Linked DNA regions of Coturnix japonica. The protein of the gene in region 1 interacts with the protein of each later gene in a pairwise test. Links are inferred from orthologs where the notes say so. Each region holds a gene or a part of one and is shown on either strand. Other genes may lie near its edges.

The links. The genes of interacting proteins can lie anywhere in the genome.
Region 2: the proteins of PEX6 (region 1) and PEX26 come close enough for resonance energy transfer, tested with the Homo sapiens proteins (2 studies listed by BioGRID). The link is inferred for Coturnix japonica from reciprocal best matches to the Homo sapiens genes PEX6 and PEX26.

Annotation. Positions count from the first base shown.
Region 1 is NC_029518.1:13,974,393-13,978,138, forward strand, and holds the start of PEX6 (peroxisome biogenesis factor 6), read right to left. Parts: upstream 2,808-3,746; 5' UTR 2,793-2,807; coding exon 1,881-2,792; intron 1,808-1,880; coding exon 1,644-1,807; intron 1,266-1,643; coding exon 1,182-1,265; intron 614-1,181; coding exon 511-613; intron 317-510; coding exon 180-316; intron 63-179; coding exon 1-62. UniProt on the Homo sapiens protein: Component of the PEX1-PEX6 AAA ATPase complex, a protein dislocase complex that mediates the ATP-dependent extraction of the PEX5 receptor from peroxisomal membranes, an essential step for PEX5 recycling.
Region 2 is NC_029516.1:50,688,501-50,692,197, forward strand, and holds the end of PEX26 (peroxisome assembly protein 26), read right to left. Parts: intron 3,097-3,697; coding exon 2,993-3,096; 3' UTR 604-2,992; downstream 1-603. UniProt on the Homo sapiens protein: Peroxisomal docking factor that anchors PEX1 and PEX6 to peroxisome membranes. PEX26 is therefore required for the formation of the PEX1-PEX6 AAA ATPase complex, a complex that mediates the extraction of the PEX5 receptor from peroxisomal membrane.

The DNA of each region.
Region 1 (3,746 bases):
TTTTCCCACTGCCACTTGGTCCTGAGATGAGAACGCTGCCAGCCCCGCTCAGCGCTGCTGCCCTGTAACACCAAGTCAAAACCAGAGCTATAATCACATGTGTGTCTTGCACATCCTGAAGAACCTGAGACCCAAGGTTCCAGATCTCCTGAGGTTTGCTAGAAAGAATTTTAACTCACTGACTGGTCAGATGAGGCCTAAGAGCATCACAGATCTCCTTCACAACATCGGAAAGTCCAGCAGGAGACAAACTGCTCCAGAACTCGTGGCTGGTATAGGCTGGGGCAGATGGGACGGCGCTGTTTGTTGAACCCACCTATGAGGAAAATCAGCACTTTGTAAAACATCTGTTGAGAAAAGACAATGACCAACTGACAGCCTGTCCTGAAAAGCCATTTCTCAAGAGCAAGAGATGCAAGCCTCCACAGGCACATTTATCCTGTATTGAGCAATACAGGATAAATTAGGCTCAGATCTTGCGGAAAAGCACCCTGCTCTCTGACATCTTACCAGGTACAGAGAGGTGTTTTGGGTGTCTGCCAGGTAACCCTCGGACTGCAAGCCTTCCACCGTGCCTAATACCTTCCTCACTTTGAAGTAAAGCTCCGGCCACCTAAAGGAAAAACAAGAAGTCTGAACTGTTGAGTCAACATCTTGAAGGCAGGAACACCTTAAGCGCACAAATGGAAGGCTTGTGCCTCCTGTGGTTCTGCCTCCCTCCAAAAAATCACTGAAAAATATTCATCATAGGGTTATATTTCTAAGTTTTAAAATATATAATGGAGCTGAATAATGTTCAACACGTAAATCCAGCACAAACAGTTCCACTTTCCCTTCCTTATGCAGTAGTGGTTGTCCTACATCCACCCCTTCCTCCCCTTTGCTCCCGCTCTCTCAGCTCTTGCCTACGTAAGCAAAGGGAAGCTGCAACCATCCCCAACCCAACAATGTTTCCCCCTCTCTGTAAAAAAACTGGTATATAAGCTCTCAGCCAGCAACCCTTTCCATGGCAGGGGGTTGAAACTGGACTATCTTTAAGGTCCCTTCCAACTCAGGCCACTCTGTGACTCTATGGACTCCAAGGACAGAAGAGAGCAGAACCCATCGTCTTGTTTCAAGGAGGAGAAAAGCACCTTTTCTATTTTGTACCTGTATAATAGAACCAGTTTACTGCCACTTACCTAAGGAATTTGTCTGCATTTCCATCTAAAAACTCAGCACATCCGAATGTTGGGATACAGAGAACATCTCCCTCCTGGACCAGGCTACAAACAACAACAAAAACAGCTTCAGAAGTGAGAAATGATAAATTCTTCTTCAGTATCCACTGCATACCACATGTTTCTACAGAATTGAATACAGCAGTTAACACCAATCCAGTCCTTTCTGTATTCTGACACTGGGAATACAGAGGGACTGAGGATGCGTGGGATGAAAGCAGGTGCAACCAGAGGGAGAAGTGCGATGGACAGTGACATGTGGAAGTGAGGCCTGTGTGAGCTTAAGGGGAGATTCACCATGGCATCAGGAATATCCCGAGCTGGAAGGGCCCCACGACCATCACCGCATGCAGCTCCTGTCCCCACACCGCACCACCCACAATGATGTGAGCGGACATTACAAAGCCTCCAGCTGTGTCTCACCGGGGTGTCTGGAAGTGCCGGTAGAGCAGGTGGTCGTACGTGGCTCGTGTGCAGTAGGCCGGTGAGCAGACCATCTCGACGTGCAGCTCTGCGGCAAAGGGCGGCACGGGCAGCAACGACCGGCTTCCCTTCCCTTCGGCAGCCCCGGGCACACCGTCGTACCTCTGCGGGGTGACGAGACACGCCGTCATCCTTCCGCCCCGCGCCCGCTGACCCCCCGCTCTCCCCGGTTCTCACCCGCAGACAGACGTGCGTCCCGCCGCCCGGCTCGCAGCCCAGGTTGAAGGCGAGTGCTGGAGCCAGCAGGGCGGCGCCGTCCGGTGTCCGGCGTCGTGCGTTCCGCGGGTATTCCCATGCAGGCGGGTATTCCCACGCAGGGGGCCGGGCCAGCAGCGCGGCCAGGTGATGCCGTGCCGACCCCTCTGCGCTCACCCGCACCCACTCGCCCTGGAACAGCCCCATCGCCATCAGCCCGCGCCGGCTGACCCACACCTCGGCCCCTCCGCCTCCCGCCCCGCCGCTCGGGGGCGCCGCTCGCAGCCGCGGCCCCTCGTCCCGCCCGCGGCCGGCGGCGAAGCGAGACACGAGCGGCGGGGCTGCGGGGCGGCGGCAGGGGGCGGCGGCTCCGGCAGCGGCAACGGGCCCGGCCTCGGCTTCACGCGGCGGCGGGGCGGCGAGCGCGACGCGAGTGCCGCTGCCCAGCAAGCCCTGCAGCGCCGGCCGCGCCTCCAGCACCACAGGGCCCGGCCCCGGGCCCGGCCCCGGCAAGGCCTCTCCGCGCCGCGCCAGCACCGCGCCGCCCGCCGGCCGCCCGGCCCGGCCCGCCGCCCCCAGCAGCACCCAGAGCAGCGGCGGCGGGCGGCGCACCGGCCACACGGCCACCCTGCGGCCCGCGGGCAGCCCCAGGCGGCGCAGCACCGCCCCGCGCAGCCACAGCTCGGTGCCCCTCCGCCCGGCCGCCTCCAGCGCCACGGCGCTCAGCAGCACGGCCTGAGCCCCCACGCGCCCCGCCGGCCGCACCGCCAGCACCAGCCCCCCGCCACGGCCCCGCACAGCCGCGCACAGCGACGGCGGAGCCAGCAACAGCGCCGACACCGGCACCGGATCCGCCGGCGGCGCGTCCAGAGGCCGCAGCACCGCCACCGCCATGGGGGCCGGATACACAGCAGAGACAGGGCGGAGCGCAGGCGCGGACGGCTCCCATCGCGGGCCATAGAGTAGCGAGAGGAGCGCGGAGCCTCGCCGCCATGCGGCATGGAGGTACCGCGGTACGGAGCAGCTCCACTCAGGCAGCCGGCCAGGGAGGGAGCTCATTGAAGCCTTCCAGTACTTCGAGGGAGCTTATAAACCGGAGAGGGACGGACCTTTTCCATGGCCGAATAGCGACAGGACAATGGGGAGTGGCTTTAGATTAAAAAAGAAGAGATTTAAGTGAGATATAAGGAAGAAATTCCTGACTGTGAGGGGCTGAGCCCCTGGCACAGCTTACAGAGCTGTGCTGCCCCATCGCTGGAGGTGCTCCACGCCTGCTTGGTGGGCCCTGAGCAGCCTGAGCTGGGGGGCAGCCCTGTTCACAGCTGGGGGTTGGGGCTGGGTGGGCTTTGAGGTCCCTTCCAGCCCAAACCATTCTGTGCCTCTATGAACCATAGAACCATAGAATTACCCAGGTTGGAAAAGACCTTGAAGATCATCAAGTCCAACCGCAGCCTAACCAGAACCCTAACTCTAAAAACCCTACACCAAATCATATCCCTGAGTACCACATCCAAACGGCTCTTAAACACAACCAGGGATGGCGATTCAGCCACCTCCCTGGGGACCCCATTCCAGTACTTAACTACCCTTTCTGTAAAGAAGTTCTTCCTAATATCCAACCTAAGCTCGCCCTATGAAATGTGCCAGGCCAGCAGCGCTCTCCATGAACCACCCCTCACAGCACAAGCTGAGAGCCAGGAGCCCACCAGGCCCTTCCAGCAGAGCTCTGCATCCTACATGGTGACAGGGACGGGACCGTGGTGTTCCCCCCCATTGCAGTAGCTGGATGCTGATGGCTCTCAGCACTATGTCCAGTGTGAGGCATAGAGCCAGGCCATCTGCATGCAG
Region 2 (3,697 bases), on another chromosome or scaffold:
TCGTACGATTGTTTCCTTCACATATCGAACTGTTTCCTTCACAGAGGATGCCAGAACAAAAAGCAGAACATTTGCTGTTACATCTGGAGATACCAGTGTGAAGTTTGCATGCACGTGGCAAGCACAAATATCCTCTCTGAACAAGCCTTAAGTGGTAGGATTCCAATGGAATTAACACAACTGCATCTTTTCCCTCCACGATACATTAACAATGCAAAGAAAAACAAAGATCAAGACAAGTACCAGGTAGTTTATTCTCAGTAGTTCTGATCTTGGCCATCCCAAAGGATATAGAAACACTTAAATATATATATATATATTTAAATAAATATATATTTTAATATATTTTAAATAAATATATATATATATATATTGCATCTTTCACAGAAAATAATTATTACTTTCTGAACTCCTATGAAAATGCAGACATGTAAATCTCTACTTAATTAGCAAGTCTGCTACCTGATTCCAATATACTTGTACAACGAGGACACATATGAAACATTTCCAGAACCTATTTCAAGGCTCTACAGCATGAATATATTAAATGCTAAAGCTCTGATACACTTAATCACAGCACAAATAAGCAACTCTACAAAGAGGTAAATGAGTAGTCATTTTATTTTATTGTAAAAATTAAATATTGCAGGTTTAGCATTCATTGCAAAAAAAGAAAGATCGGTTGTTTCTGCTTTCATCCCTCTCATGGAAAGCTAAACACAGTTCAAATCCAGTATCAGTAGTACTCAAAAGAAGTGGAGGTTGCCAACGTACCAATAAAAACAAGTTGAATGTTGGAGTTCTGGTAAATGAATGGCTGTGATATTTAATGGAGCTCTACACATAACATATGGTCTGCCCTCTGAACCCATTCCCCATAATGCAGCTCTGCCATTTAACTGGAAGAGTTAACAGAAACTGAGATTTAAAAAGTGGCTGTTAGCTGAACGGTCACATATTGCTTAGAATTTAGTCTGACTTCAAAAGGAAATTTATTGTTTCATGAACTACTGGTTTACCAAGTCTTTAGAGCAAGGTCTTGCAACTAGGTGGCCAGTAGATGCAATCCAGTCACTTTCTGCAAGAACTCAATTCCAGCCAGACCCTCTGTGTTGGATTCTACCTGGTTTTCCACCAAGCACTGGCTGCAGGGAAGTGTGGCTACACTGATAGTTAGATGACATATATCATCTAGCAGTATCAAGAACTGCTCCTCCCCGTATACACGGTATATGATAAATATATATTTTTAATTGGGTGAAGCATTGTGTGCTACTTGTTCAGTTGTTAAGTCCAACTGAGACAAAAATTCCAGGGGAGAGAGGATAGGAATGTCTTGTAGTTTTACTTTTTTGTTTACCTGAGATAACTAGGCAAGGTGATGACAGCTTCCTGCATTCATAGGTGCTCCACTTTATCTCACACGAACACCAGGGTACTTCTCTATCAGGATAACTCAAGAACAATATAGACAAAGCATGACTTTTAGCAGTAAAGACACAGACTTTTCCACATAGCCTGGTAGGCTGCAAAGTGACAGAGCACACCAACAGGCTGCTGTCCTTGTAAAGAAAACTGAAACAGCCACTACATGTGCAGAACCATTGCTAGGAACAAATGATTGATTTGAAGGAGGATACCACAGTAAGATGCTGCAGTGGGACCTATATTGGCTACCCTACACAGGCTTGGTGTGTTGGATAGAAACTGCCCAACCAAAAAGGAGACTTTGTTTCTCTAAGGTGGATGTTGGTCAGCCTGAATCATCTTGGCACAGATGCAGGAATAGCTGGCTACATTTGCCACATGGCTCTAACTTGTTTTCTCCAGCACACATGCAGCGTGTTAGAAGCAATCCTGAAATAGTGCTCTCTCCCTTGGCACTCACTCACTGCTAATCAGTGGGAATTAATTGTTCTCCTGCAGACCTCCAATCTCTGCCCCAGGTGATCAGAAACAGCATCAACTGTAAGACCTTCTGTAAAGACAGTAACTTTCTTGCCACAGCTGTGGGGATCTCAGAGTTTCGACCAAACAATTGTCTGCTCTGAATGACAGAGCATTGCTGAATGGTTACCATGTAAATTAGGACTTTATGGGCATAGGAGGAAGGTTTCTAGACATACTAGGACTTGCTGACATCTTCATAAACAAAGCGAGAGGTGGGGAAAGAGTAAAACAATGCAACAAGCTCAGTGGTTCAACTAGACAACAATGTGGAACATAATTTAAAAAAATAAATTTCATTACCACTGGCACAGGCTCCTACAGATTACCATGCACCAGGCAAGCACAAGGTACTATAATCTGCATTTAAGATCTGTAGGTGCAGCACAATAGTACTTGTAGCACACCACCTCGGCTTTCTGCCATAGATACAATTAAAATCAAGAGCGCCTGTATGAGGAGGCATCAGTCACAAGAGAAACCACGGTGTTCAAAACACAACATGCTTCATTTCCTGCAGTGTTTTTCTTCCATGTGCTTGTCCTCAGCCCCATGCTAGAAGAACTGGGATCTGAGATGTCATCAGGCTCAAAAGAATATTCCCCCTAATTACACTGTTGCTTTTAACATTCCTGATTCCAGGAATGCTGTTTCAGCTGTTCAGGGAACTGCATCATATGTGCAAGAATGGAACCATCTTCCAAACAGGCATCATACTTCATAACTGTCTACACAACTCTCACTCAAGAGCCACAACCAAAGTAAAGTGTTTCAAAAGGAGGATCTTAATTAGTTGTAGATTACAGAAGGAGTGGATTTACTCTGGTGTTGGACAGAACGGCACCAAATAGCCAAAGTAATGTCAGGAATACTTGGCATGGCTTCAAAATTCATACACCACCACTCCCTGTCTGAAGGAAGGAGAGGACCACTTCACAGGAGATCACAGGTGGTCATCTGCACTAGGACACTGATTTCAACGGTCCTTGAAGAACTTCATAAAGTCCTCAAGACAAGCTGACATAGGAGCAGAGGCAGAAGACATTTAGTCTTGAATTGGAGGCCTGTGGATTGGAGACAACACAGCTGCCCAAGCCTGTCGGAAGAGCTGCACCAGTTTGCAAATGAACGGCAGGGATGTAGGAGAAGCTGCAGAGCAAAACAAAGAGCAAGATAGTTCTACCCTTTGAAACAGACCAAACATATTAAGAAAGGACTAATTCAACTACAGCTAATGGAAACCTAGGTGTCTTATTTCCTTCTGTTCAGTTCAGTACTTAGGCCCTCACCCTGCTGCCTACACACCCTCGCTGCTCCCTTACCTAGCAAGGTCTTTTCAGTATTTTCCAACACATTATTTGCAGCACAGCTATGGAGCACCTGCCACCCAGCAGAAGGGGCATCTCCAGGTACGAAAAACATGCAATCCCTCCACAGCCCAGTAGCCTCTGTGTCACGCAACCAGCCCATTCTTCAGAGGTCAGGCAGTGGAACAAGCTGCCCAGGGAGGTGGTTGAGTCAGCATCCCTGCAGGTGTTCAAGAAACATGTAGACACTGTACTAGGGGACATGGTTTAGTGGGAAAATACTGGTGGTAGGTAGATGGTTGGATGGATGATCTTGGAGGCCTTTTCCAACCTCAATGATTCTATGCCAGCTTCAGCCATCACTTGTAAGGCCTCAGTATAAGAAAATCAGAAGCATGACCATGATGCTGCCCCTGAGCAACTCTGCTTCCCTGACAGGTCAG